4 linked regions of the Schizosaccharomyces pombe genome follow. The gene in region 4 interacts genetically with the main gene of each other region. Each region holds a gene or a part of one and is shown on either strand. Other genes may lie near its edges.

What was found.
Region 1: mutations in bud20 (region 4) and med13 together harm fitness more than expected from each alone (negative genetic interaction), as found in Schizosaccharomyces pombe (2 studies listed by BioGRID).
Region 2: mutations in bud20 (region 4) and lub1 together harm fitness more than expected from each alone (negative genetic interaction), as found in Schizosaccharomyces pombe (2 studies listed by BioGRID).
Region 3: mutations in bud20 (region 4) and ase1 together harm fitness more than expected from each alone (negative genetic interaction), as found in Schizosaccharomyces pombe (2 studies listed by BioGRID).

Annotation. Positions count from the first base shown.
Region 1 is NC_003424.3:3,094,575-3,103,087, forward strand, and holds med13 (mediator complex subunit Med13), read right to left. Parts: upstream 4,094-8,513; coding exon 4,052-4,093; intron 4,017-4,051; coding exon 501-4,016; downstream 1-500. Other genes in the region: protein mug74, read right to left, coding at 1-311; protein Noc12, read right to left, coding at 4,687-4,845, 4,909-5,256; mtx2 (metaxin 1), read left to right, coding at 5,533-6,093, 6,173-6,427; protein qng1, read right to left, coding at 6,723-7,575, 7,709-7,857, 7,904-7,942; snd302 (pho88 family protein), read right to left, coding at 8,395-8,513. UniProt on the Schizosaccharomyces pombe protein: Component of the srb8-11 complex. The srb8-11 complex is a regulatory module of the Mediator complex which is itself involved in regulation of basal and activated RNA polymerase II-dependent transcription.
Region 2 is NC_003423.3:3,542,759-3,550,522, reverse strand, and holds lub1 (WD repeat protein Lub1), read left to right. Parts: upstream 1-1,959; 5' UTR 1,960-2,017; coding exon 2,018-2,065; exon of another isoform or gene 2,066-2,131; coding exon 2,132-2,303; exon of another isoform or gene 2,304-2,348; coding exon 2,349-4,285; 3' UTR 4,286-4,395; downstream 4,396-7,764. Other genes in the region: sorting nexin Snx3, read left to right, coding at 21-86, 142-338, 419-503; RNA-binding protein Cwf29, read left to right, coding at 642-646, 737-1,385; Noc2p-Noc3p complex subunit Noc3, read left to right, coding at 4,565-4,675, 4,721-6,853; SPOM_SPBC887.02 (ClC chloride channel), read right to left, coding at 7,007-7,117, 7,171-7,764. UniProt on the Schizosaccharomyces pombe protein: Acts as a negative regulator of vacuole-dependent ubiquitin degradation.
Region 3 is NC_003424.3:1,874,486-1,882,392, forward strand, and holds ase1 (antiparallel microtubule cross-linking factor Ase1), read left to right. Parts: upstream 1-3,703; 5' UTR 3,704-3,876; coding exon 3,877-4,300; exon of another isoform or gene 4,301-4,347; coding exon 4,348-6,119; 3' UTR 6,120-6,241; downstream 6,242-7,907. Other genes in the region: SPOM_SPAPB1A10.08 (uncharacterized protein), read left to right, coding at 1,774-2,401, 2,474-3,096; GTPase Ypt71, read right to left, coding at 6,394-6,840, 6,895-6,993, 7,345-7,425. UniProt on the Schizosaccharomyces pombe protein: Required for anaphase spindle elongation and microtubule bundling in both interphase and mitosis. Has a role in spatial and temporal regulation of septation and cytokinesis and ensures equal partition of segregating sister chromatids.
Region 4 is NC_003424.3:4,902,918-4,909,102, forward strand, and holds bud20 (zinc finger ribosome biogenesis protein), read right to left. Parts: upstream 1,317-6,185; 5' UTR 1,260-1,316; coding exon 1,183-1,259; exon of another isoform or gene 1,124-1,182; coding exon 826-1,123; 3' UTR 501-825; downstream 1-500. Other genes in the region: sst2 (AMSH-like ubiquitin-specific protease), read left to right, coding at 1-84, 129-300; yip11 (SMN complex subunit Yip11/Gem2), read right to left, coding at 2,591-2,782, 2,857-3,205, 3,311-3,477; rsm22-cox11 tandem protein cox1102, read left to right, coding at 4,061-6,185. UniProt on the Schizosaccharomyces pombe protein: Involved in pre-60S ribosomal particles maturation by promoting the nuclear export of the 60S ribosome.

The sequences.
Region 1 (8,513 bases), 1.8 Mb from region 4:
CTAGATTTATCTAAATGGGAAGTTTCATTAGGCCAAATACTCCCATTTGCTAATTTTTTTTCAACTACTGTTTCTCTTGGTTTCAAAAACGAAATTTGATCCGATGTCTTTTCGTTTAGAAACTCTTTGTTTGAAGAAACAACTAAATCTAATTCCTTCAACTGTTTACATAAGATTGAGTTTTCCTTATCTGAAAATAGCTCATCTTTTACTTTGCATTCCGACCTTTTAGTAAAAACCAAATCGGTTTCAGGTTGTTGAGATATTTGGTCAATCTTAAAACACTTAATTGAGGACTTATGTTTCTTCATTATGTTTTGCGTTGGCTAATTTCATGGTTAAAAATGGCGGAATATGAAATAGTCGACAGTAAACAAACACTGTGTTTTCACTATGTCAACCTTCCCAATCTAGTAAACAAAAACGATAACAAGAGTAAACCAATTTTGGCACAAGCGCATTATAAACTTATACTGTATAAATTAATAATACCCCAAAAACTAAGAGGTCACAGGATGTGTAATGTCTGATGCCATAAACTGCAATAGTTGCTTCTGGTATAAAACGGTAGAAATGTGTAATGGGAGTGAAGAAAAAGAAACATACGTTCGAAACTGTAAATAAATCATACTTAAATAATGTTTTAAAATAAGATTTAACATTAAATAAGGATCATGATTTCGAGATATCAAAAGATGAATGCTTAACAGTGGTAAATAAGATTCGTCCTCGTCTAATGCTAAGTATCCTCTAGCTAAGATTGTAGAAATTTTCTTAAATTCATCGTTCGGCACAGGCATTGCCATTTCTCGGATAAACGCAACCAAAGAGAGCTCATGACTACTATTATTACGAATAACTGTGCTTGAAGCCGAATATGGAATCCTTGAAAACACTTTCGAAGTTGAGCCAGGTCCGTGCTCTGCTGAGCAGTAACCAACTGTAAGAGAAACATTGCCTTGTAAGTTTTCAGGTATTATTGCTTGATCCCAAAACAGATACTCTGCGTCAGACATCTCACCAATCTTCATGACGATTACTATCCAATCCATGTGCATTGAGTTAAGGAACGTAAATGTGACTTCTAAAATTTGCTGTAAAGCATCTTCAATTTCAAGGTCTTGGAGAAAATAGCGTCTCTCAGTTTCAAATTCTCCATAGGAATCATTCCAATTGCAAATAAGCAAGTGCTCTTCGACAGTTGTATACGTTACATGTAGCGCATACTCTCCCAAAGCTGAAGATCTGGGATTAATATCTTTAAGCTGATAGTTAAGAGTTGATAACAAGGGCTTTTTCAGGAGAAAAGCCGGTTCACGTCTCTTTAATGAACCATCCATCAATAAAGGATCATTATTATAAATGTCGAGTGAAACTTTTGTAAAAAAAGAGTTCGAATTTGTAGTATGCGAGTTGGGTGAATCAAAAATAGAATTCGGAATCGTGCATATTCGTAATGATTTATCTTCAAATTTATTATCCCCAAGTCTCTTGATTGAGTCCTTTACGCATATAAAATGTTGACAAGCCTTTAAAAGTTTTTCGGAATCATCTTCTAAAAAATAAAAAAAAAGTACGTTTTTTCCGCTTAATTCATTAACACAAACACTCGCTAGTTGTTCATAAGAGGTTGCTGTATCGCTTTGAGTTGTTTCATTATCATCATAATTATCTGTTTCATTAATATTTGTACTGAATCCCATCACTCTTTCGTTAATAGAAGTTTCAGATAAATTCAGTTTTCCAAGTTTGCAGTTTTCATAAGCCAGCTGAACATCATAAAAAAAGCTGATAGCCTTGCTGCTTACGTCGGGAGATTTGGAAGAGAGCAAAAAAACTTCAAAATCTTTGCTCTCACCATACGGTTGAAGACATAAAGATATCCAATTCTCTGGTGCCGAAGAATCTAAAGACAACTTTTTTTCGTTGTATTTGAGCAAAACACGAGGAGGTTGGGAGAAGTTTACCAACGTTTCAGAAAAGTTAACTTGGGATGGAGGATTGTCATTTAATGCGTGATGCCCGTTATTAATCGAGGACAGATAATTTTCTGGGCTTTTGCTCAAGAAAACAGCCGAACTTTCACCTAACAATATTTTCTCTAAATAATCCCTAATAGGCTTCCGCATGTACGAAGAAAAGTTTAAAACATCTTGAGACATCATGAAACTGGTAGTCATGCTTTTCCAAAAAGGTAACGATCTAAACCATAAGTTTTGAGACAAAATAGCGTTTAACAAGTCATTTTTTCCCAAGGTAATAGTGGGTTGTAAATCTAACGATTTTAAAAAACTGAAATCAAAATTTGCTGACTTGGATTCATTCATAAGAACCTGATGTGCTAACGATAGCGTATCATAATTTGAATCGGGGTTACTTTGTTCTGAGATATTAGTGGGTGTTTTAGAAGATGAAAAAAAATCGTGATTATACTCCATTGTAAAATCTTGTTGTATAAAGTTTGTAGAGCAGATGTCTTCATCTGTACTAGTTACCGATTCAGCGACCGAAAATGATTCAAATAAATCTTCAGTTGACAAAGAAGGAGAAGGGCACCAATATTTACCACCATAGTTATACTTCTGAAAAATACTGGAGATAGACGAGGGAAAAATTACCGCAGAATAGTATGAAGGCATATACGCAGATGTAGGGATTTTAGAATCTGAAATATTTAAAGAAATTTCAGGAATATCAACTTCGACGTTGTATGGATTTAAATCTTCGGTTACCATTCTATCATCCGATTGAATTTCCATTTGCTTTGGAATATTTTCGTGAGTATTCAAATTTGGACTGGTGTTTGATTGAGAGATGGAAGTGTTGATTTCCTCATTATCTAAGGTTGTCATAGTATTTGCAAAATTAGGCTCAATCATCTCAACTTTTTCTTCAACGTTAGGTAAGTCAAAGTAATCAAAATCAGCCTCTGTTATTCCAACATCGTCTATTTCCTCCATTAGTATGTCATCTGAAACATTATGATCAGCAACAAGTATCTCTTCATTTACTTTTATTGAAGCAGGTGTAGATTTTGCAGAATTTATCGAATAATTAACGGGAGAAGAACTATGAGAAGGAACCAAGGTTACAACGGCATCAGCAGTCTCTTCCTTTTCTGTAAAACCTTCTTTTCTTTTATCTGAAGCTTCCGCTTCTTCATTTGCGAACTCAGTTAATTCCTTTTTATTGTTTACGACGTTTGAAGGGAGGACTAGGTTATTCAAATCTGTAAGGTTGCTAGATAATGAATCATCATTCATTCGAAGGGCCGACGTTTCCAAAAAGCAAAGTTCTAAAGGCCAGGAAAATTCTAATGCCGAAGATTCTAAGGTAACACCCACCCACTTTGAAGTAGTCGTAAGAGAGAATCCATAGCGGTGTTTCAATGCATCAACAGTTTGAGCAGATGCGTTGGCATGCACAGAGGTTAATGTTGCCAAACAACCAGTCGGGGCTAAACGAATGACAGTGTCTAACTTTTTAACCAAATTATCCACTTCCGACAAACGATATACCGTCTGCCTTGTAGGCTTTAAGTAAAATTCTATATGGCCTTTCGATAAGACAGAAAGCTGTAAATCCACAACAGGATATCCATATATGTTCCAGAGCTGGGTATCGAAAGAAGGGTGTAATTTTAAAGGAAGAAGGACACCATAAATTGGAACAAAGTTGTATTCTTTGCACAGCCAATACAACACCGTTTTTTTCAATCCTTGAAGAAAGTTTATATACAGGTCTAATAGAAGAGCTAATTCATCTTTTTGAAAAAGAGCTAATCTGGAAAATGCACCTGAATTAAGTAGCATAAAAGAAGATGATTCCTCAGGAATAGATGGAATGGCTTGAAAATCATATACAAAAAGTAAGTCATTCTTCGCGTGAACAATGCAATCCTGATTTCGTAGATAAGCTTCTTTGTCTTCTAAGAGGGAAGCAGCATCCTCATTGTCCTTTCGCTGAACCTGATACTTCGCATAATATATAGTGTTAGGGCAAGGCTGATCAGTTAGCTTTTAATTTATCATGTTATAATAGAAATAATTACAATTGTTTTAATACTAATTAGATGAACTCCATCATGTACCATGGCAGAGGATAATGGCAGATTATTATATAAGAGGAAGTAGCTAGCGTACACGCGTAAAGAAAGCACATGCGGCCACTGTCTCATTTTAACATATTTCTTAAAACACACCTGATACTTTTACTGTTAATAATAAAATAAACAAACATTAAACTAACGGTTTAGTATGCAAATAAGCATAAATGCTTCGAAATTGATGAAGGAAATATATACTGACATATAATGTTTATATTAATCCCGTAATGACCGCTATTTTAATAAAAAAAGAATGCTCCGCCTTAAATTCCTATCCTTACTTTACAAATAATTAAAATGAATGAAAGTGTAGCAATAAAGGTCCAACACAATTGCAACTCCTTCAGGTAATATGTATGAACCTATCCCTCAGTATAATGTTAGTTAAACATTACATTCCCTTAAGACTCCTCTTGAATGATGGTTTAAACAACTCATGAGTGATGGCATCTGAAAAGTGAACGAGAAGATTACAGAGAAATTGGGATTCCCCAATCAGTTTTAACAGATACACTCATTGCTTATAAAGTTATAATAAGAAGGAAAATTTTTAAATAAATAAACTAGTTGTCAAGCGTTTTTTACTCATCATCCGAATCGACATCAACTGAATCAGAATTTTCAGACGAACTTTTTTCGATTTCGGTTTCATCTTCTGACTCAGTGTCTAGAGCACGAGCATCAAAGCTGTTTTTAGAAAAGCCCAATTTTTTGGCGAACAAATTCAACTCATTTGCAAACTAAAACAGAGGATATTAGAACCTTTTGAAAGAAGTAATTAAGAAACATCGATATTGACTTACAGCATCAGTCCCATCCTTCTTGGGTTGTTTACGATTGGGTTCTTCGAATTCCAACTCTTCATCGCTTTCTACATCTTCAATCAGCTCCAGATCCTCTTCGGTACCTCCGAGTTCTTTAATATCATGGAGTAAACCATACGATTGCTTTCTTTTCCGATTCGCTTTAGGCTTTTCCAATGATGATTTGGGTTCCTTAGGACCAACGGAACTTTTATGTTTATCAATAGTTTTGTTTTCCTCTGTTTTGTTTTTTAGTGATCTAGCAGAAGAATTTTCCACAACTTTTGAATTTTTTTTCATGTCCCTCTCGACGACATCCTTGATATCTGAAAATAAAGACAAATCCATATTATGATTTATGTCAAATAAAATAAATACAATCTTTTGTCGAGTTTATCGATTATTAGAGGATGTGAAAATCCAACGCAAAATAGAAAAGTGTGTATGCAGAATTAATGCTTGGTATAGTAGAAACAACAGAATATTTTCTCCTACTACAATATAGGTAGAAATTTGAAGAAATTGCACGCTTTACCACTTAATCTAACAATTTCGCTAAGCACACTATTGATGGTATTGGTGTAAACTCTTTAGAATTAGCAAACTTAGTGACAAGTGAAAAGGATGGGCGGTCTAACAAAATTTTCGAGTTATTTTCATTCCATTTTCTCCCGCTTCCCTTTAATAACGTTTTCTAATCCTTACCCGGGCGAAAATGAAGATTACAAAACGAAAACAGTCATGTATTTGACTATGTGGAATTCCGACTTGAACTCAGAGGCTCTGGACGTTAATAGTCTTCAATGGCAAACCTGGGCAAAATTAAACGACCCTTCAATTGTTTTTTTAAATGTGTCTAACCACGCCTCTCCAGATGAGAAAGTACCTTTTATTCAAATTGAATCTCGAAAATTAGTCCTCAATCCATCTCTTTTACAATATTTTTTAAAGGATGAGTCAACACTGCAGCAAATCTCTCCTTGGATGAGTTTGCTGATAAATCAAGTAGAAACGGCAATTCTCTTAACTATGTATTTGGACAACGAGAACTTTTCTGAAATTCAAAAAAAATGGTTACCTAACATGTCTTGGCCTTTAAATATTATTAAATCAATCGGGTTACCTTCTCAAATTAAACGAAAAATTTGTCTTCAGTTGAACGAATCAACTCTTGATTTTGATGCGGTACGTTTAATAATTTTTGATAGCAGTTAGTCTTCTAGACCGAGCATTTTGAAGCATGATTTGTACTAACAAAGCTTAGATTTTAGAGGATGCTTCGAAGGCGTTTTCAGCTCTTTCAGAACTTTTAGGATCGGACAAATGGTTTTTCAATAACGAATCACCTTCTTTCTTAGATGTTTCTTTGTTTGCTCATGCAGAAATTATCAATCATTTACCTTTAAAAAACGATCAATTAAAGGTTGTTTTGGGGACACACAAAAATTTAACTGATCTCACAACGCGAGTTAGAACTCTCGCTGGTTATACATCGGCTGGACCCATTGCTCTTCGTTAACATTTTAATTAATTGAGCATAGCCCAACGAAATTTTATTTCTTTGATTGCTTTGACCGAAGTTCCCGATATTATTATTTTATTTTTAAACGTGGTTATAATGTCAAATGCATTTTCTCATTAATACTAGCTTTCACATAATGCTAACATTAACTTTACCATGTTTTTCCGTTAATTTATTTCAGCTTGTTTTTAGTACTTTCTCACTCTATGTTAAAAAGAGAATAAATTAACAATAGGTCAATATTATATAAGTATATTTTTTCAAATGCCACCAGCATAAGCCTAAATACTTTCTAATAGTATATACTTCTCACTCTAATACAAGGGATTGTAACTTCATCGACCTGAGTACTTGGTTTATAACCCTTAGCTTGCCACTCTTTGGCAAGATCCCATAGAAAAAAATCAATTGTGATAGCATTAACATCTTTTCTGTTAATGTTTTGAAGAATCTTTTCAACAGCCCAAATGCTACATCCACGCATCTCGATTTCCATAGGATCATTATGAGCTATCAATTCATTTTTTAGCAAACGCTTTTTAAAATCAGAAGAATAGCTCAGACATCCTAATTGCCACAATATCTGGGGAACGCGATAGTCAGCAAACATTGTGATAGAATCGATATCGTCAAATCGACCGTAATTTTGTCCCTGAAAGCAAGCCCAAGTTTCTGCTACCAAAATTTGAGCACGTTTGAGCATATAACATTCTCTTCCTTTGTAAACAGATACATCTCTAAAATCAGGGAAATCAGCCAACAATAGCTTTATTAGTCTCTGCGCTTGATTATGACATTTTTTGAGTAATCCGCAGTATGAGCCATGATAAGAATCTACCAGTACACGGCCAGAAGCTCGCATGATTCTTATACGCTCCTCTAAAAGCGGTATTTTTTCAACGGTAGCACTGTCAAATACAGAAGCAATGAGGGTATCAGGACATTGTTTTTCATCAGCATAAAAAGCAGGGCTTGTAATGGGAATACCAGCATCTAATGCTTTGTTAATGGCTGCACATAGACTCCAATAACCAGTGTAAAGCTTCCCTTTGTATTCAATAGAAAATCTCTTGGAATGTTTTCCACTGTCTTCAACGTCAACGTCTGACCAAAATGAAAAATTCAAAATGTCCACCAAGAAAATCCTAAAGATTTGACGTTAATACATTATGAACAGGGTAAACTTGTTGAAATGAAGTATTAAAAAAATATAAAGTGTATATGTTCAGCAGCTCATCTTTATTTAATCTACGAAAACATTCAAGCGTCCACACATACCAATCTAAGGTAGAGACGTCTCGGGTTTTAGGGTGAAGTTCGTGATTCTGCCACTCAGCGAATTGGGGTCCCAACGAATCTAGCTTCTCTTTAATCCATGTTGCCACTGCTGCACAACCACCTTTATTAACTTTCACATCGTTTGAGTTCTTTCAATCGTTCATGTTAGCAGTTATTAATAAGTAGTAAAATTACCAAAGAAATAAATTCAGCATCTTGAAGCACTCGGGACATTATAAGAGTTTTAAGGGAACGTGGATGATGCCAGTTTACACTGAGACCTAGAAAGGTAAAACACAAGAAAAATAAGAGCACGAACGAATATTTTGTAAGACAAGCGTACTAAGGATTCATTAAAAAGTAATGAAGGAGGAAAGTGTAAATAAGTATTTCATTTCATACATGTATCTATAAATTATTCGTACTTTATCTTACTATAATTATATTATTCTATAGATAGCCCAATTTTACAATCCAAGAACTACTGGTTTGTGTAACACTTGAGCTATTAGCAACCTAAAAATGCAAAGGAAATGAATTTGAACCGATTAAATTGAAACTAGGAAAAAAAACATCGATCTTTAATTCTACAACTATCAAATTAAATCAACCAGTGAAAGGACGAAATAATTAAACAAGCATGATGACTTTAGAAGTATCATTGAATGTCCAGCGTTCATAGATACTTAAGAAGACTTTTCAGTTTCGTTTTCGTTCAATTCAGTGATTGTAGGGCCATCAGACTTAGCTGAAGCATTGTTAGAATTGGACGAAGTGCCAGTAACAGCAGCTGCAGGCTTGTTTC
Region 2 (7,764 bases), on a different chromosome or scaffold from region 4:
TCTAATAGATGTTATTTTAGGTTATAAATCCACAAACTCACGGTATTGGAAGAAACATGTTTACTACTTATGAAATTGTTTGTCGGGTAGGTACCACTGAAATTCATCTTCTGATAGCAGATTATTAACTCATTTTTGTAGACCAATATGCCCTATTTTCGTCTACATAATTCTAGCGTTCGTCGACGTTACAGCGAATTCGAGAAATTTCACGATATGCTTGAAAGAGAGTCCGGTCGTGTTTCAATTCCACCACTTCCAGGAAAGATATTCACTCAAAGATTTAGAGATGATGTTATCGAAGAACGTAGACAAGGTTTGGAAAATTTTTTACGACTGTAAGTATTGAATGTTAATTTTGCCTTATTGCCCCAAAGAGCGTTTTAAATTGCACAAAAACTAATACATTATTATGTAGAGTTGCTGGACATCCTCTTATTCAAACCCATTCTCGTGTTTTATCTTCTTTTTTACAAAGCCCGGAATTCAAGCCTACGCCATAAACCCGCCGCTAACTTGTTTTTCTCCATTTTGCCCTCCAACTGTTAATTTTTGTCAATCTTTTTTTTTATTTTAAAAGAAAAATTTGGAAATCAATCTGTTACAAAGTTTAATTACCATTTAAAATACCTTAGGTTGTTATGAAGTAAGTTTTCTATTGAGGCTAAAATATAGCAAAAATCCGATTCATCTTTTCGCTGTTTTCGTTTTTTAATTTTAAAATTAACAAAAGTAGCTCCATTCGTCAAATTGAGCGTTTAAACGAGCAAGAGTTGGATAAACCTTTTAGCAGTTCTTGGCACCAAGATTATAGTGATAGTGCATATATTTACATCGGCAACTTAGATTTTGATTTGAACGAAGATGATATTTTATGTGTGTTTTCTGAGTTTGGCGAGCCAGTGGATATTAATTTAGTGCGCGACAAAGAAACCGGAAAATCGAAAGGCTTCGCCTTTCTAAAATATGAGGATCAACGTTCGACAGTCCTTGCCGTTGACAATATGACGAATGTAAAGTTACTTGACAGATTGGTTCGTGTTGATCACGTTGCTAGCTACAAAGTACCGCAAAAAGAAAAAGAACCTGCCAACTTAGTACCGTTAGGCGAATCAGGTAGTTCTCTTTCAGTGAGTACAATCAACACTTCTAATTTACCAGACCATGACTACAAAACGATAATACAAAACGAAGTTGAACAAACACTCTCACCCAAAGATGAAAAAGATTTACTTGATCCCATGCGTGATTACATTCATAGAGAAAAGCGTAGAAAGCTCAAGCATGAATCGTCGGACCGTTCAGATAAATCAGATTCAAACCGTCATTCCCGTCATCATCGTCGACATTCCCGTAGTCGTCGACATCGTGATCTGGATGGATAGCTATCATATTGGAGTATATGTTTAAATTTACTTCCTTCGTAATGATACTAGGGGTATGGTACACGATTTATGATGATGAATGATTTTTTATTTGATCAATATAAGAAAACTATTAAAAAGTGTATTGTTAGCATTTTTTTTGGTGTTCTTAAACATACTAAATTTAATGGAGGACTTTGGATTTAAATTACAAGATTGCTGTGGAATTGAGAAATTATAAATGACTTGTTTACAAATTTGTTGTTTGCAGTTTTTTTGCTAGTTTAAGCAACTAGTCAGGATAAATCGATATATTAATTTGCTGCAGCAAACCAGTTAAATGTGCTTCTTCCCAATTGGTAAGACTAATAATTAAGTGTTGTGAAAATTCTACCAAAACCACCTTATAAATAAATATATGTGTATTTTTAATATTTGCAAATTATAATTTGAGTCCTCAAACTATTGTATTTTCCATGGTATTCTAATGTGCTCGAACTACAGCTAGAAGTAATCTTTTAAGGGATTCTAACGATGTCAATGATATCAAGTTGTTCCTATGTATAAGCTGTGAAAGCCTGTTTAACTTCCTTCTGCGAAAAGCAAATATACCTTTATATTGGCTTCTCATAATCATCCTTAATAGACTGAAAATGACCTCTTATGAACTTTCACGAGAGCTAGGTGGCCATAAACAAGATGTATGAAGAAAGGGTTATTTGTTAATACCATAATCATGAACATGTTCAATAACAAATATATATTAGGTTCGCGGTGTTTGCAGTATTTCCAATGAATTGATAGGATCTGCCTCTCGAGATGGAACTTATAGTGTCTGGGAGCAAATCAATGGAGAATGGACGCCCCATTTTTACGAAAATCATGAAGGGTTTGTCAATTGTGTTTGTTATGTGCCGGCGATCGATAAAAACTCTAGGGGTAATTACTGATATTGATTTTATTTATTTATTAACTTTGACAAAGGTTACATATTTTCAGGCGGACAAGACAAATGTGGTATTCTTCAAGAAGTAGGCACTAATTCACCCTCTTATTATTTGTTTGGACATGAGTCCAACATCTGTTCTGCATCTGCATTAAATAGCGAAACAATTATTACTGGAAGCTGGGATAGTACGGCTAGAGTATGGGCTTTAGGCCAATGTAAATATGTACTTAAAGGGCACCAATCCTCAGTTTGGGCTGTTCTTGCCCTTGGTGAGGATATCTTTATAACAGGTTCAGCCGATAAATTGATCAAGATTTGGAACGGAGAAAAGCTTGTCAAATCTATCTTAGCACATAACGATTGTGTTCGCTCGCTTTGTCAAATTCCTGGAGGTTTTGCTTCCTGCTCTAATGATGGTGTTATTAAACTATGGACTTCAGATGGTGAATTCTTATATGAATTGCATGGCCATACCTCGTTTGTATATTCTTTAACTTATATCCACAACCAGCAGCTGATCGCATCTTGTGGTGAGGATCGTACAATCAGGATTTGGAAAGGTAAAGAGTGCTTACAATGTATTACTTTACCGACAACTAGTGTTTGGAGTGTTTCCTCCCTTCCAAACGGTGATTTAGTTTGCGGTTCCAGTGATGGTTTTGTTCGCATTTTCACAGTGGATAAGGTTCGAGTTGCACCTACTGAAGTACTGAAAAATTTTGAAGAAAGAGTTTCTCAGTTTGCCATTTCGAGCCAGGAAGTTGGTGATATTAAAAAAGGGTCACTGCCTGGTTTAGAAATTCTTTCAAAACCCGGTAAAGCTGACGGGGACGTTGTAATGGTTCGTGTAAATAATGATGTTGAGGCTTACCAATGGTCTCAAAAAGAGAATGAATGGAAAAAAATAGGCCAAGTGGTCGATGCTGTTGGTAACAACAGGAAGCAATTATTTGAAGGAAAAGAATATGATTATGTCTTTGATGTTGACGTTGCAGATGGTCAAGCTCCTTTAAAGCTTCCTTATAATGCTACCGAAAATCCATATCAAGCTGCTAACAGATTTTTGGAGCTGAATCAACTTCCCTTGTCTTACACCGACGAAGTAGTTAAATTTATTGAAAAAAATACTCAAGGTCACAGTTTGGAATCGAAAAAGGAGCCGAACCTAGAGAGCCAATCTTCAAACAAGATTAAGACGACCATATTTCCAGTTTCTCAATTGCTTTTCTCTAATGCTAATGTTCCGGCAATGTGTCAAAGATTACGTTCCTTAAACAATACAAAGTCAAACCCTTTACCTGCTAAATCTATCGACAGTTTAGAACGTGCTTTGTCTTCAAAAAAAATTACAGATACAGAAAAAAATGAGCTTTTGGAAACTTGCTTATCTATCCTCGATTCATGGTCTTTGGCAGAAAGGTTTCCTGCGTTAGATGCTTTAAGGTTACTAGCAATCAATTCTTCTTCTGATTTAGCTCCAATATTTTTAGAAGTATTTAGCCGAGTTGTGAAATCTGTGCCTTCTAGTGGGAATTTTGAATCGATCAATGTGATGCTAGCGTTACGTGGTTTGTCTAATGTTGTCCCAAATATCACTGATGCTGAAGGGGTATCGAAACTGATGGATTGTTTGACATCTACTGTTCCGCAAGCTAGTAGCGCCAAGGACTTTAAAATTGCGTTTGCAACATTAGCAATGAATTTATCAATATTGTTGATACAACTAAACCTCGAGAACACTGGAATTGAACTTTTATCAATACTATTTTCATTTTTGGATGATCCATCTCCTGACAACGAAGCTTTTTATAGAGCATTAATGGCTCTTGGTACACTTTGCACTGTACCCGATATCGCTTTAGCAGCTTCTCAAATATATCATGCCCAGTCAATCGTCCATGGGATAGCGGAAAGGTTTTCACAGGAGATGCGCTTTGTAGACGCTGAAAAGCAAATCCTTTCACTCTTTTAGGATAATATTCGGAGGTTTTTTTTAAAGAAACGCGTTGCTTACTTCAAATCTTACTTTACGATTAAATGTCTCTTATTTTAAACGGTTTAACATTAGGCTTTAATGACCTAAATATATTAATAATTCTTCGAAAACCCAAATTTTAATATTGTATATTATAAGAACAAAAGTTAGCAAAAGAGCTTAACGCACTTTAGCATATTCCATTAAACTTCAAACTGTAGCAAAAAATTGTTTGTGGCATTCAATGAATGTCGCCTTTGCCCATTTGAAAAAGTAATGGCGGCTCGGAAGAATCAAAAATCCCCAAAACCAAAGGTTGCTTCTAGTAAACTTAAAAATATCAAAAAAAGTTCAAAAAGGAATAACTCGCAGAGTAGCACAGAACCGGTATGATAAGCGAAATAAAAATAATATTTTTTTACTTACATTTAGAGAAAAAATGCCACTTCGCTAGATTCTAAAAAGACGACAAAGAAAGGCGTTGCATTGCCCGAAATTGCTGAGAGAGAATTGACCCAAGAGGATATTGAATTTTTCAACGAGAATCCATCCTCCCTCAAATATCTTTCTAGTATTAATCCAGAGGATTTAGGCAAAAAAGTAGAAAAAGGCCCTCGGCCTGATATCTATGATCTGAAAAAGTCTCAACAGTTTGAGTTGGACACTTCACGATTGAGCTCTGATGAAGAATCCGTACTTGATTACTCGAAGGACTCTGAAGATGAACAAGATTATGAATTACGACCTCGAGTTAGCTCATCTTGGAATAATGAAAGTTACAATAGACTTCCTATTAAGACTAAAGATGGATTATTACAAAATGTGGTTGCTGATGTAAACAACGGAGAAGAGTTTCTCTCAGAAAGCGAGTCTGAGGCTAGCTTGGAAATTGATTCGGACATTAAGGATGAAAAACAAAAATCATTGGAAGAGCAAAAAATTGCTCCTGAAATACCTGTGAAACAGCAAATAAAAAACGACAAGGAGGCTTTAGGAATACAAGCCCAGCAGCTGTTGGAAGAACCAGTTGAAAATCTTCATCTGATTCGGAATATATTTGAAAAGTTTGACTCCCCATATATCACCATTAAGAAGCTTTCACTTTTAACTTTGCTTGCTGTTTTTCGAGATATTATTCCCGGCTATAAAATACGTCCACTGAGTGAAGAAGAACAAGGCACAAAATTATCTAAAGAAGTTGCTCAACGATGGGAATACGAGCAAACATTACTTAAACATTATGCAAAGTTTCTTCAAACTTTGGAGACTATATTGAAATCGTTCTCTTCAACTCTGGATGAAACTCAGCTGTCTTTATATCAGGTCGCGGTTCGTTGTTGTACAAAGCTAATTGAACAGGCATCACATTTTAATTTAAGTGAGAAGTTATTTGCATTGGCTGTTCGACAAATAAGCCATAAAACCAAAAGACCTGGATTTGATGGCATTATCAATTCTCTAAAAAATATATTTGAGGAAGACAATCTCGGTAAAACCTCATTGAAATGTGTTACAATTTTATCAAGGATGTTCAAACAGAGAAATTACGACGTTCTTCCAGATGTGTATGATCTTTTTTTGAGTGTTAATATCCTTAATGATATGAAAATAAAAGACGAGGCATGGCAGGATGATACCACAAACTTTAAAAAACGTAAAAAAGACTTGCCATATTTGACTAAGAAAGCTAGGAAAAATTACAAGGAAACTAAGAAAATCACCCAAGAGATGAAGGAAGCTGATGCTGTCATTACAGCTCAAGATAAAGAAAAGTATCAGTCGGAAATTTTAAAAATAATATTTATAACTTATTTTAAAACACTGCAATTAAAGGGGAAACTGATTGGTAATGCTCTTGAAGGGGTCGCCAGATTATCGCATTTACTTAACATTGAGTTTCTTGGCGATCTATTGCAAGTTTTGCGAGAATTGGTGATGGATGATACTGTATTTTTGCCAAAAGACAAATCGGGAGTTCAAGCAACTCGTGAAGCACTTCTGACTGTTAGCACAGCTTTCGAAATTGCTTCGGCTCAAGGCGTTGGTAAATTGAACTTGGATTTAGATCTTGGTCTTTTCGTTCAAAGACTTTACAAAATAATATTCCCTTTTTCTTTAAATCCAGATGCTGATTTAAATCTTAAGATTAAGCGCTTAAAGGATCCCGATGCTCCTTCTAAACCTTTTGTAGTAAATGCTACCACTGAGATGGAAATGTTATTAAAATGTTTCCAAGTCTTCTTTTTTAAGAGTAAAAATATAAGTTCTTCAAGGCTAAGTTCTTTTTCCAAAAGGCTTGCTATTGCTAGCATGCAACTGCCAGAACACTCTGCTTCTGCAGACTTAGCTTTGCTTAAAAAGTTACTTTCTCGCTATTCAAAACTCTCTCGGTTACTTACTTCGGAAGAGCAAATTGGTGATGGCATTTATAACCCTTTTATTGAAGACCCAGATTTGTCTAACTCTTCAACGGCTGTACTCTATGAACCATTTCTTTTGAAAAATCATTATTCACCAGCTGTATCTCAATCGGCAAAAGAATTGTTAAAAAGCACTTCGTTGTAGAAATATGTATTTTTTTTTGGATAAAATAAATACACATGGTCATGGAATGGGAGACTTTTTCTATTTAAAATTTCTTTAGATAAAATGAATTATAATATACAAATATGGAGAAAAATATTTCGGTTTTCAAGATACATATAAATCATAAACCTGCTAGTCATCGGCGCGGTTGAAAATATCAGTTTCATAAGTAACGCCAGTTGGAAGCTCGGAATAAGTGTTCCCTGTATGAGTCTTGCACTTTTTAGCATATTCTATTATGTCCTAAAGTTAGTTAGTATATTTCGTTAACATCAAATGGTACAAATAAAACATACTATCTTGGTTAGAACACCATGTAATTTCCCATGATTCAGAAGGGCTAAATTTGTAATGCCAGCATCTTTAAATAATTTAAGCATTAAAACTGGTGGAGTATCATAATTTAAGGTAAATGTGGTAGGGTGAATATAATCAAACAGGTCAAAAGTCGAATCAACAGGTGCTGAAGCACTTCGAAGCGGGTCTAGTCCAGTATTGTCAGTTGTTTGCATATTAGAACTCATTGGACGTCTATTCAGTAATTCAGAGACTTTATTTCTTGAAATGAACCCCTCAAAAAATTCAGTATCATTTTTTAAAACAACAAAGAAAGACTGTGAAGAATCATGCATGGCTCTCTCTAATTCCTCAATGGAACAACTTCTAATCGGCAGCCTCACCAGTTGTTCCGGAGAACGTACTGGAAAATTCAAGGGTATTGAAAATTTTAAAGAGTTGGAAGAAGGGAAGTAGGGTATGTTTCTAAACTGAATCCAAGCATCGTAAATGGATGTTTCAATAATGCTATCCGAGACCCATTTACTAATTAAAGTAGCTAGCATAAGAGGGAGAGCAATGTTTAAAGCTCCTGTTAGTTCAAAAAGAATTAC
Region 3 (7,907 bases), 3.0 Mb from region 4:
ATTGGACTTTACTATTGATTTGACAGACCCTTCTCTAACGTGTTATAGCCGGAAAGTTCGGCTTAGGAACACTTGCCGGTAAGTATACTATTCAACATAGCAAAGCCCTAAAGAAAATCTCACTAAAACCAAGTAAAATAAAACAAGTTAAAAAAAAAATAGCTAAAGACATCGTGACAAATTGAATAATATGTTTCATGAAATTTTTGTGTCAAATGATATTGATCAAAATGTGATACCGACTAAGTCAATCTTCATTTATGTGTATATGTGTGTGTAATTTTTTTAATTTTTTTTCCTACTGACCCAATGCGCTCTTTTTCCTATTTGATGGCCGAAAATTTAATTTCACAAATTTTGCTTCCATTTTCTTGTGACTTTACCATCAGAACTAGTGAGTAACGAAATATGCTAAGTTTTGGATAGGAGGAAATTTTACTAGTACGAAAAAATCTCGACTTTCCTCCATTAGCTGAACAAAGAAATATGCTTTTCCCAATCCGTATGCGGTTGATGTAACGGAATGTGTAAGGGAAATGACTATCTTTTAATTTAAATCTATTTTACGTTTATCACACTGACTACTCGGCTATGAAGGGGAGAGAATGTAATAGCGATAAAATTTTCAAATGTATTTCAATTACTTAGAAAAGATATTCAGTATCCTTTTTCTTTTTTGAAAGCATACAAATCATAAATAAAAACTCATATTGTTCATATACTGTTTGTCACATAACCCTTCGTATTACTAATACAAACAACGATAATTCAAGCCTTAGTAATTAACCTAGCGTTGCCAAATATCAACAATACAAAGTTCCGAATTGCCCTTGTAAATACGGATCTGCAAACTGGGAATTTGAGAGAAACAGCAAAGAGCATATACAAGTTTGCCATTGGGAATACAGGTGAGCTCCGACTCGTTCTTTAAAGAAAGCTATTCAGAAAGTGATTTTGAAATCCGAAATATCTTCTCATACGTCTCTGTATAGGTCTTCCTCAGTCACATTTGGATATCAAATCATTCATCGCATCTCATCATCATTATTCCTATAGATCCCATTTTTACTTATACCACACTTTGTCCTTTCTTTATCCTTAATACATTCATCCGTGGCTGCGCAAAACCAGTCACTGCCGCTGCTGTTAGACTTCGTAAAAACGTATAAGCAACGCTGGTGAAGGAGGAAAATACTTTGGTTATTTCTAGCAAAGTCAACAATACCCAAGCCCCGCGGAATTTTATCCGGACTTCGGCATTCATCCTCTCGCCTATAGAGGAGTAATATTACGGTAAACAAGCAACCACTTGTCTCTTCCGGTCTTTAAAATCAGCAATTCTCCTTGCTTTCCCTATTTACCATCCCTACTTCACAATTCCTTGATTGCTGTTTTTTTGTAAAAATTGGGTTTATTTTTCAACAGTAATCATTCCTTTGCTTGTAAAAGCCAGGAATTTTGGCTAGTGCTTTTAGCCTGCTGAAGTTTCATCACCCGTGAACGTGTGTAATTTAATTGCCTTCATTCGATAATCAGTTTTCACATTCTTTTGCTGTAAAACGAGAACTAGAAGCAATTGAGCCTTTTATTCGTCTTTTGAAGGCTTTAACGTTTGTTTGTTGTATTTTTAGAAAGCTCGAAGGTCGTATAGCTTTCCAACATTGTAGCTTCTAATTCACTTTATGAACTGCTTTGCAATTAGAAACCGGTAGGATTTGATCAATTGGCTTTATATATAGGCGCTATATTTTCTTTCTTTTTACATTTCTTTCTATGATGACTCGGATGGAATTAAGACCATTGGAAATTGGCTTCTCTAAAGCACTCACAGAAGTAGCTCCGGTAACTTGTCAATGCGAATGTTGGGATCATAATCTTTGCAGCTCTCAAGCTAGTGAGATGGATTTAATTTATCAGTCTCAGGATACCCATTCTTGTGCATCAAAGCAAGACGCCGTTTTTCAGTTGCTGAGTGAAACCAAGATCCCTGTTCCCAATCGTTATAGAAAAATTTCACATCGCTTGAGTACTCTATCTAATAAAAAAACTCTTAAATCACAATTAGATCGTTTTTTGTCTTCGTCCAAAAAATTACACAATGATGATGTTAATAGAGGTGATTACTGCTTTCTTCTTTCTACACCTGTCGAGTGTTCTGCTTCTACCAACTCTCATTCTTACGACTGTTTGTGGAATTTTTCGTGTAATTCATTCCCTGAATACTCCTCCTACTCTGCTTCGGAAACGTCTTCAGTCGCTTCTTACTCTTACTATTCGGGGCCAAATCCTGCAACTCCCAGCTCTTCCTCTTGTAACCTCGTAAACGCAAATAGCCTTGATATTTACTTGAATATTAACAACTTAAAAAAATCCAAATCTGTTCCTCGTTTAAGAGGTCAATGTATGTTCTTTTAAGATTTTTCAACCTTTTCTCTTATCTTTTATTTATTCATCGTTGCTAACAATATCATAGTTATGGAGCCCGTAGAGCATAACCATCCACTTTCTAAAAGTCTTGAGGAGCAATCCTCTTTTTTGGAACAATCAAAGGATGCTTCCTCTAACTTGACCGCCTGCAATAGGAGTGGCTCTAGTTTATCATCTAATTTCTACTCATCTAGGTTGTCCAAAAAAACATCTTTAGCATCTTTAAATAAGTCTCGAGCTTCTTTACAGCATAAAATAATGTCGCTATCTCGTAATATCATCAGACGTGTATTTCACAAGCCAGAAGTGCATTTGGATCCAAGTGCCTCCATTTTAAATCTCTCATCTTCGCATGGCGAAAGCAACCTGACAAATGGTTTGCTTTGTCAAAATTTCAAGCTTTTTCAGGATGATTGGTTGATGGAGGATTGTGCGCCAGATGCCAATTTCACTTTGTACACCCCGCTTCAACCCTGGGAAAAGCGAAGTGTGAAACCTGAAATCAGACGTCCTCGATTAAATCCTAATTTTTTCCGAGTATTTGTTTTAGAAGCTCAAATGCGACGAGCTGGAAAGCTATCAGCAAACACTGCTGGCCGAGCCCAGTTAATTTACCTCCCAAAGCCTGCCGTTACCTTCTCCACTAGCCCTTTGCATGTTGAATTGTAAAAATTTAACGCATGACTTATATACATTTGCATTCTTCCAAGCTGGTTATATTTATTTTCATTTTTTTCTCACCCAATACTTTTTTATCCCTACTGTCTTTATGGACAATCGACTCACAATTGTTTCTTTTTGTTGTATATGATTTTTTTTTTAAAGGAAATGGGTTTCGCGATACTGGGTTGAATCCCAATTGCGGTTAATATTACATAAAATAATTCTCCCATAGTCCTAGATCCTGTCTTTGAATATGAGCAAATAAAAGAATTGAACAAATCATGAATGCTTTTCTCTCTTAGATGATATTTTGTATGCATAAGTCTAATTATATTGATTACGATAAGACTTAAAAAGTAAGCCTTTGTATCCTTTTAAGCAGTATTTGAATTTTCTTGTATCATATTTTAGGTAGAGCAAAAGATACCAGTTTGTAGAACTTTATGTGCTTCCTTACATTGGTATATTTCAGGCACATAAATATTCTTCAACTTACAATTCTAAGTATTTTGTTTATACTAAAAGGAGCTGAATAACGTTTATACAGTGCTGACATTGAAATCTATTTGCTTTCTTTGGAATATAAGCGCATGCTGAGTTACTTTCGCAGGCCAAGCCATATCCAACCACCATTTTTGTGCCAAGCTTTTATGCAAGGTTAATTCCTTGTACTGCTTGTTATGTTATAATATATCAACATCTTAACAGTTTTCATATCTTCCTTTATATTCTATTAATTGAATTTCAAACATCGTTTTATTGAGCTCATTTACATCAACCGGTTCAATGCAAACAGTAATGATGGATGACATTCAAAGCACTGATTCTATTGCTGAAAAAGATAATCACTCTAATAATGAATCTAACTTTACTTGGAAAGCGTTTCGTGAACAAGTGGAAAAGCATTTTTCTAAAATTGAAAGGCTTCACCAAGTCCTTGGAACAGATGGAGACAATTCATCATTATTTGAGTTGTTTACAACGGCAATGAATGCCCAGCTTCATGAAATGGAACAGTGCCAGAAAAAACTTGAAGATGACTGTCAGCAAAGAATTGATTCAATCAGATTTTTGGTTTCCTCATTAAAGTTAACGGATGATACTTCTAGTCTCAAAATTGAGTCTCCTTTAATTCAGTGTTTGAATCGTTTGTCAATGGTAGAAGGACAATATATGGCACAGTATGATCAAAAGTTAAGTACGATTAAAGGTATGTAATCGTCTTTAATTTAGACTTGTGTTTTAACTGATGTATAGAAATGTATCACAAATTGGAGTCATATTGTAACCGCTTAGGAAGTCCGTTCGTTTTACCTGATTTTGAGAATTCATTTTTATCTGATGTATCCGATGCTTTTACTGAATCTTTGAGAGGACGCATCAACGAAGCCGAAAAGGAGATTGATGCGAGATTAGAGGTTATTAATTCCTTTGAAGAAGAAATTTTGGGTTTGTGGTCTGAACTCGGTGTTGAGCCCGCTGATGTTCCACAATACGAACAATTGCTTGAATCCCATACTAATCGACCAAATGATGTTTATGTTACTCAAGAACTTATCGACCAACTTTGCAAGCAAAAAGAAGTTTTTTCCGCTGAAAAAGAAAAGAGAAGTGATCATTTAAAAAGTATACAATCAGAAGTTAGCAACTTGTGGAATAAGCTTCAAGTTTCTCCCAATGAACAAAGTCAATTTGGCGATTCATCAAACATTAATCAAGAAAATATTTCATTATGGGAAACTGAACTTGAAAAACTTCATCAGTTAAAAAAGGAGCATTTACCCATTTTTTTAGAAGACTGTCGTCAACAAATTCTTCAGCTTTGGGATTCTCTGTTTTATTCAGAAGAACAAAGAAAGTCCTTTACACCTATGTATGAAGACATTATTACAGAGCAGGTTCTTACGGCCCATGAAAACTATATAAAGCAACTAGAGGCCGAAGTTTCTGCTAATAAGTCCTTTTTAAGCTTAATTAATCGCTATGCCTCTTTAATAGAAGGAAAGAAAGAGCTTGAAGCTAGTTCTAATGATGCCTCTCGTCTAACACAACGGGGACGCCGGGACCCAGGTTTACTTCTACGTGAAGAGAAAATCCGTAAGCGACTTTCTAGAGAACTTCCTAAGGTTCAGTCGCTGCTTATACCAGAGATTACAGCATGGGAAGAAAGAAATGGAAGGACGTTCCTTTTTTATGATGAACCACTTCTCAAGATTTGCCAAGAGGCCACTCAACCAAAATCATTATATAGAAGTGCAAGTGCTGCCGCAAACCGCCCGAAAACAGCAACTACAACGGACTCTGTTAATAGAACACCTTCTCAACGAGGGCGTGTAGCTGTACCTTCAACACCAAGTGTTAGGTCCGCTTCTCGAGCTATGACGAGTCCAAGGACACCGCTTCCTAGAGTAAAAAACACTCAAAATCCAAGTCGTTCCATTAGTGCAGAACCGCCATCAGCAACCAGTACCGCCAATAGAAGACACCCCACTGCTAATCGAATTGATATAAACGCTAGATTAAACAGTGCTAGTCGGTCTCGAAGCGCGAACATGATAAGACAAGGGGCAAATGGTAGTGACAGCAATATGTCTTCTTCACCCGTTTCTGGAAATTCCAATACCCCTTTTAACAAGTTTCCAAATTCTGTATCTCGCAATACACATTTTGAATCCAAGTCACCGCACCCAAATTACTCTCGAACTCCTCATGAAACGTATTCAAAGGCTTCATCTAAGAACGTCCCATTAAGTCCTCCAAAGCAGCGTGTAGTTAATGAACACGCTTTAAATATTATGTCGGAAAAATTGCAAAGAACTAATCTGAAAGAACAAACACCCGAGATGGACATTGAAAACAGCTCGCAGAACCTTCCTTTTTCTCCTATGAAGATATCCCCCATAAGAGCATCACCCGTAAAGACAATTCCATCATCACCGTCCCCCACTACCAACATTTTTTCTGCTCCACTCAACAATATTACAAATTGTACACCGATGGAGGATGAATGGGGAGAAGAAGGCTTTTAAGCTTCTTATTTACCTAATCGATCAAATTTAAATATACATATTTTTGCATATGAATACAGCATATAGATAATTCATAAAAGTTTATTAACTGAGGTCATAATTAAAAGACTATTTACACCTAAAAAAAAACGTGTATCAATAGAGGGAAAAGAGAAGAATTAAGAACAGAAAGTAACCATAGTTTTGTTAAAATAGCAATGTAAAAAAATATTATGAAAAGAAAACGTATAGCACATTTTGAAATGTAAAAGAATCTGAGAGAGCGTGTGAATATCTAGCAATTACAAGAAGATGTATTATTCAAAGGCTTTGAAAGAAGCAAAGGTTCAGAGAAGTCATTAACAAAGTCATCTCTCGAGCTTTCATTTTCTAAAGCTAAACGACTGACTGTTTCGAAAAGGTCAGTAACGTTTGTATTTTCTTTTGCACTAGCTTCAAAATGAATCATATTTGATCCATGTTTGGATTTGCAATAGTCAAGAGCTCGATGAAGAGATACGGCTCGTTTAGACGCGTCTTTGTCGATTTGATTTCCAACGATAATGAAAGGGAATGCACATTCATCTTGTGAAGTTTGATATAAAAATTCTTGCCTCCAGTTTTCTACTGAGTCAAAAGACTTCGAGTTATTCACATTATAAACAATTACACAACAATCGGCCCCTCTGTAAAAAGCCATTCCCAGGCTTTGAAATCGTTCTTGACCAGCAGTATCCCAAAGCTGTTTATAATTAGCAAACGAATTTAGATGGGCGGAACTTATATTGGAACTTACCTGTAATGTGACCAATTTGTCGTCAACCACAACGTCCTTGGTTAAAAAATCAGCACCGATGGTAGCTTTATATTCGCGACTAAACTTTTGATTGACGAACTAAAATGACGATGTTAACAAATTGCCAAAGCAATACTCATAGAGAAGCTGATGTAAAGATCGTTAACCATATTTGAGCTAGTATTTAATAACAAAGTGAATAAATTTTAAAAGCAATCACCTTGTAGCGACAAATAACAACTTATCGACATAAAATCAATGGGAAATTGCAGTATTGGATTTTACAGCTCAATACAAAAACCAAAAAGAAAAATATACTGAACGTATAAAATTTAACGCTTCAATTGATAACCACTACACCATCAATGGTTGAATTCGAGGGTAATGCTTAAAAAAGCTCGTCTGTACGATACGTCGACCACATCAGCAACTCCCCTAGCATTAACATACCTGATTCATTAAACATGTTTTTCCAACGCCACTATCTCCTAATATAACAACCTTTAAAAACACCCTTTTCTGAGCCGACATTGAAGTATATTCTGTCGTACCTGGTAGTAAGAAGTTCAGCCCTTAGAATGTCCATCTGGGACAGCATTGATAGTGTCTTTCAGTTTGACACATTACAGTAAGTAGCATTACAATACTTCGTTGCATAGCGTTGTTTTAAATACGAATCTTTACCGTAAATTTTTATAACAATATTTAACGAAAACGAATAACTCACTAAGTTTTTAATAAGATACATTTGCTTTCAATAGACATTACAGTGAAGGATCTAGTTATCTGACTACTATCCTGGGAAGTCAACTAGTACTGTAAGCAAACTAATAATTTGCTTTTACATAAAGAAAATCAGTGAATTTGATTTTATATTTCACTTTGAAAGTTATTGAACATTTACTGCTTACAACAAATTTGTTGAATGATGCTACTTGCTTTTTTTTGTAGCTAATCTAATGAGAATTTATATTTGTGCATAAAGTTCCTTTCCGTAAAACGCATTGTAGATA
Region 4 (6,185 bases):
TAGCGTGGATTTGCATACTCATTGTTCATACCAGCTTATGCTACCTGAAGCTATTGCAATTGTTATGGCTCCTTCCAAAAATACGTAAGAAAAAAATTTTTTTTTCTACATATATTAACGACTTTTAGCTCTGGCATCTTCCGTTTATTAGATCCTGAGGGACTACAAACTATAGTCAAGTGTCGAAAACCTGGGCTTTTTCATCCACATGAGGGAAAAGTTTATACGATGGTTGCTCAGCCTGGGCATGTTAGAGAAATTAACTCGAAACTTCAAGTTGTTGATTTGAGGGTTAAATAGGTAAGGATGCAATAGTAACACTTCTTTTATTCTATTATTGGTTCATCTTACAGACGCCAGGCACTTATGAATTAACTAATGGTATTTGTAACATGGTAGTGGCTACGGAAAGTTCATTATAGGAAATGAATCTATGCGTCTAATGAAACGTTCTTTGATGAATTTGTTTTTTTACGAGGATTTTGTTAAATGATAGCGAATGCGTTATGAAAAAATTATCAAAAAAATTTTATTTATTTAAAACACCATGTATCCAAAGAAACCAAAATAACGTGAAGGTAGTTTGAGATGCTCACTCTTGAAGCTAGATTAACATCCAGTAACCAATGGTAAGGTATTAGTTGTAAATTTGTAATCCAAACATGGATGCAACTAAAATTACCAATAAACGCTGCTAATGATAATATAGCAGAATAAATGAGAATGAGACATATAAAAATCTGTTTAAATAAAGAGCATGCGCTACGAATATGGAACAAAAGCAAAAGTGCTGACTAACTTAGCATTCGTAAATGTGTCTCTAGTTTAGTCCGCCATGACAACGTTACTATTGTCAGCAAGCTTGGAAGCTACACTCTGTTTTGGCTGTCCAATATTCACCGCAGCTTCTGCTTCTTCTTGTGTATACGGCTCTTCACGCAAATTTTTTAACCTTCGTTTGTGAACCTTTCCCTTCTTATGCACCAGCAATGCTTGAGACGAGTCAAAGTACCGTGCACATTCAATGCAATAATGTTGACCTAAACCTGGCAAATCCGGATCTATAGGTAATTTATCAAATTTCTCAGACTCTGTTAAGTCATTGTGAATCTGATCTAAGTCTCTATTTGTCCAATTGTTAATTTACCAAACGATGATTGAATGACCATGAAATTTGCATACCTCCCATAAACACGAGTTCTAAACAAAGCATGATTTCCATTGCTATGATGCTTTCTTTTTCTGGCAACTCTTCCCATTGTCCGTCACTTCAAACAAACCCGTTTACCACAATTACAATGTTAGTTGCAAAGGATAAACTTTTTTAAGCGTAAACACATTCAATATCCAAACGGCGTAATGTGTGCTATATCGTATAGTGAAAAATAATTCTCAAATAATCTTATTTTCCTATCGTAGTTTGCGATAAGTTTAATAACGAGAAGGAAAGCCTCGTTATATAGTTGAAAAGCAAGAGAAATGTATTAGATATGTATTATTGATTGTTCTGAATAGCTCAAGTAGCGTAAATTTTTTAATAAATAAATATTCGTTCAAAATTTGGGAGAGCATGGTCAAAGCAAGTTGAAATGCATGCCTTTGAAATTGCGCTTTTTAAGCGACGATTGCTCCATCGTTTGACAAAACTTTGTAATTTAAGGGATGTTTAGCATCGGAATTTATTAGGGAAAATTGCTTTAGGCGTGATTCTTAGTACATGGCAACTATAGAAGAAATGAATTAACATTCAGTAGCTTTCTGGCTTTAACTGCCACTATTTCATCAAAGTCTCGACAAGTTGACGTTTAGTCGAAGGAAAGAAAGTATTCACGTAGCGAGATCAGAGTCCGCTTATCAGCAAGGAAAAAATTGAGCTCTCCATTTAGACTGCTATACTGAAGTGTGAGCAATTTTAGTGACATTTAGTTTTACAAAAGGAGCTTGATTGCTCGAACTCAAAAGATTCAATTAACCACGAAGGGGTTCTTGGCAGTGAGGTTGTAATTATTTCTTTTTTATTTTATCTTTATTTGACTTTTGTTTTTTCCCAAAGAATAATTGCAATGTTCAATTAGTTTTGAATTTGAAAAACCTCATATGGGTAAAAAATCACTCGGTCGAAAAAGACAGTAAAAATTTATTAGTTAATTTCGTAAGATGGGGCGCGAATTAAAGAAAGTTGCTAGTTATCATGTAATAACATAATTGAAACCCTCGATTCGACAAGTATGCAGACAGCAAAACGAATGCACGTACTAAACAAATAGTAAGCCATTTTTTGTAAAATGAAAATGTGAATCAATAAACAAATAACTTTGCCTATCTCAATTCAAACGTGTTTTTTTAAAATATATCTATCGATTTGTAATAGGCAAATTGTTTATTGCAGCTATCTCCAAGCTTGCTTAATCACATGTTCAAAGATGCAAAGCCCAGCATATCCGTGTAGCATATGTTTTCATTCAAAAAAGTAATAATATCCTAAAAACATATTTAAAACAAGCTATCAATTTTAATTTTTTCCCTATAAACAAACGTATGCTATATGAACATGTGTACCTAAATTTTTTTCGACCAAGATTTATAGACTCTATGTTTGAAAGAGATCTTTTTGTCCATATCGATAAACTAAGACTGCTTGAAGGGCAGATGCTGACATCTGCAGAGCAGGAAAAGAAGTATGCGTACTTCGTAAAGACTTGAGTACTGAACGTAGGGTCGATATATCTTCTCCATTCAAAAGCTCAGGAAGTTTATAACAAAAGCAAAAAATCCATTGACTCTAGAAAAATGTTAGCAAATTTTAGAATGAACAAAAATACACCAGCAAAGTAGCATGAGATCCTTGTTACCAACCTGTAAATCAATTGCGTCCTTTTCAAGCCAGCTGGACAAGCTTTCTAGGATCTCCAAAACAGTTGCCAAATCAACCACTGCTAATATGGCCCAACAAGGAGCTTTATGCTCAATATATACACGCCATTGTTGTAAATTTTTAGGTAAAATAGATGCGTCCAATGAAGAAGATTCCATATATTGCTCAAGCCTTTCCCCTTCTTTATCAATTATGTTTAGTAAGTATCGTAAAAACGGGTCAAAGCTTTTTTTGCCGGCCTCGATTTCCAATTTGCGAAGAGGAATGGTTTCTCTTGTTTCAGGCTCACGACGCGCCGCTACAAATGGAACTAGCTTGCGAGCTTCTTCTCTGAACTTGTCAGTAAAAAGCCCAATTATTGTTACAATGATTAGATTAAAGCATTCATGTTGCAAATTTCGATTTTCACAAAAATTCATATATAAATGTTCGTACCTCACAGTTGCTAAATAATCTAAACCATCAAGTGGTATATCATATTCCAAAGATTCTGAAGCACTATTGTTGTCGATTTGTGGAAAAGCGCTGCGTTGATTTGTTTCCTCATCTAATGATCCTGAAGTCTGATATTGTAAAGGATTTCTTTTTCTTTTCGAGGGCATTTTGAATTATTATTGTACAATTGCAAACTTCTCATATAAACCAAATGGAAAAGAATTACCGAATTTTCATGAAAATACTCAAGGAATGTAGGCTGTTTTTTTCCGGCAACTTTTCGTTTGTAGTTAGTTAACAAGGAATGTTTCGTAAATCGAAGATTACCCTAGTATAATAGAATGGTAAGGTTAAAGAGGTATCTGTAGAACTATCAATGTGAAGAGTCTATCTTGATCAAGTGTAATGCTAAAACTAATTTTAGCTATTTCTTGATAATTCCTTTACTATCATAAAATTTATTACTTGTTCTTATTTTCAAAGAAGTTCAAAGTTTTGCATTTTTTTGAAGTGTATAAGAAGCTAAAACTGGGAGAATATTCACTCAGACAGAATTGCCTATCCTTGAACTAATTTAATAAACATAAAACATATAGATATGTAGGAAATTGTACTATTCATTCTTCTGTCAACGCAAGTAACACCATCTGCGGCCACTTAATCAGGCACTTACTCTACACAATATACAGATCAGTGCTTTATCCCCAAATCCCATTGTTCATTGGTGAATTGGTGTTTTGAGCAGCACATATGCCCATTCTAACATGCAGATATAAAATTCTGTTTCTTTATAATTTACGGAATTGCTTTACTTTTCAAAATCAGCGATGTCTCATACCATATGGAACAACCACTACCATTAGGTGGTATAATGCAAATTTTCAAGCTGTTCAAAACAACTTTTCTGATTATAAAAACGAATTGATCTCTTCACATCGTCCAGAAGCTTCCAGTTTACTCGACTTTTTGGTAAAGGATCAAAAGAAAAGTGGTGATATTAGTTTGCATACAAAATTTAATCTATATGTGGACGATTTATTGAAAAAGAGCGAAAAAGGACAAATTAAAAAATTTATTAATGATATTAAAAAAGATTTGGCTACGGAATCTCAGCTTCCATTGTCTGCGCCATTCAAAGATGAATCTACTCGGACTATGACAGATCCCCAAGTTTTAGCTTATATTCATCAGTCTATGCCGTATCAATATGCTTCTCTATACAGCGTATTGACTGACTTGAAAATTGTAAACAGTGATGTGTCTTGCAAGTCTCAACATATACTGGATTGCGGTAAAGGTCCAGGTATTGGTGCTCTAGCTAGTTATTCAGTCTTTCCCACACCTAATTCAGTTTCAATTGTTGAGGAGAACCCATTTTTGAAAAAAATCATATATGATATTCACCATAACATTTACCCGTCAACTTCGCCGAATCCAACTAGCCCTGTTACGCTTAACCGTCTACCATTGGGTAAAAAGGATTCATACACTCTAGTTATTGCATCTAACAAGCTTCTTGAAATGAAATCGGAGAAAGAACTCTTTGATTATCTTCGTTCGCTTTGGAGTCTCGTGTCAAATGATGGTGGTCTTTTGGTGCTCTGCGAGCGAGGCACAAAGCGTGGCTTTAGTTTGATTCAAAGAGCTAGAACATTTCTATTGCAAAAAAGTAAAAATACTTCTGATAAACAATTCAATGCCCATATTGTAGCACCCTGTCCCCACGATGGTCGCTGCCCCATTGATATAGAAAATGGGGTAAGAGCAAATATTTGTTCTTTCAAACAACATTTTTTCCTATCCCCATTTTCCCGTCTATATGTCCCTCGTTCTCATCGTCGATCCTCGGATCGCTCTCATTACAGTTATGTTGTTATTCAAAAGGGTATAACTAGACCGCTTAATAATACCACACAAAGGTTCAAGAATGATGAGGATTTACTAGAAAATGTGAATGTTACATCTCCAACTCTTAAAAACTGGCCACGTATAATTCGACCTCCACTGAAGCGAGATGGACATGTCATAATTGATGTCTGTGATAGCGATGCTCGGCTTAGAAGGAATATTGTTCCTAAATCACAAGGTAAACTAGCTTATCGATTAGCTAGGAAAAGTGCTTGGGGCGACTTGTTTCCGTTAGAGGGCAAAGTTCAAAGTACTTCTCCAAGTAGTAAAATTACTAAACATTTAAAAGATGCTTCTTCTACCTATTCAATCAATCCCCCCTCATATAATAAACCCAAAGTTGAAAGAAATACAACTGCAGATCCTATTTTTGTCGGAAAACGATTCTATTCGACTAATCGTCATAAAGCTTTTTCTCGATTTGCAGACTTTAATTCACATCGTTTCCCTTGTATTTTTACTTCATTTAGCTGTTACAATTGCATCTCTGGTACCAGGAATATTTCACGACAATATTCGAGAGATAAATTCCACTATAATCAAAGGACCACTATCTATTATCTGGTTGCAATTTCCATTTTTGCGTTGGGCTTGACATATGCGGCTGTACCTTTATATCGTCTTTTCTGTTCGAAAACAGGTTATGGTGGCACTCTTAATACCGACCAAAGTCGTATGAATGCAGAAAGAATGGTTCCTCGTAAAGACAATAAAAGAATCAGAGTTACTTTCAATGGCGACGTTGCAGGAAACCTTAGCTGGAAGCTTTGGCCCCAGCAGCGTGAAATATATGTTCTTCCAGGCGAGACTGCTCTAGGGTTTTATACTGCTGAAAATACGTCCGACCATGACATAGTAGGAGTTGCAACTTATAATATAGTACCAGGTCAAGCCGCTGTTTACTTCTCAAAGGTTGCATGCTTTTGCTTTGAAGAGCAAAAGCTAGATGCTCATGAAAAAGTAGACT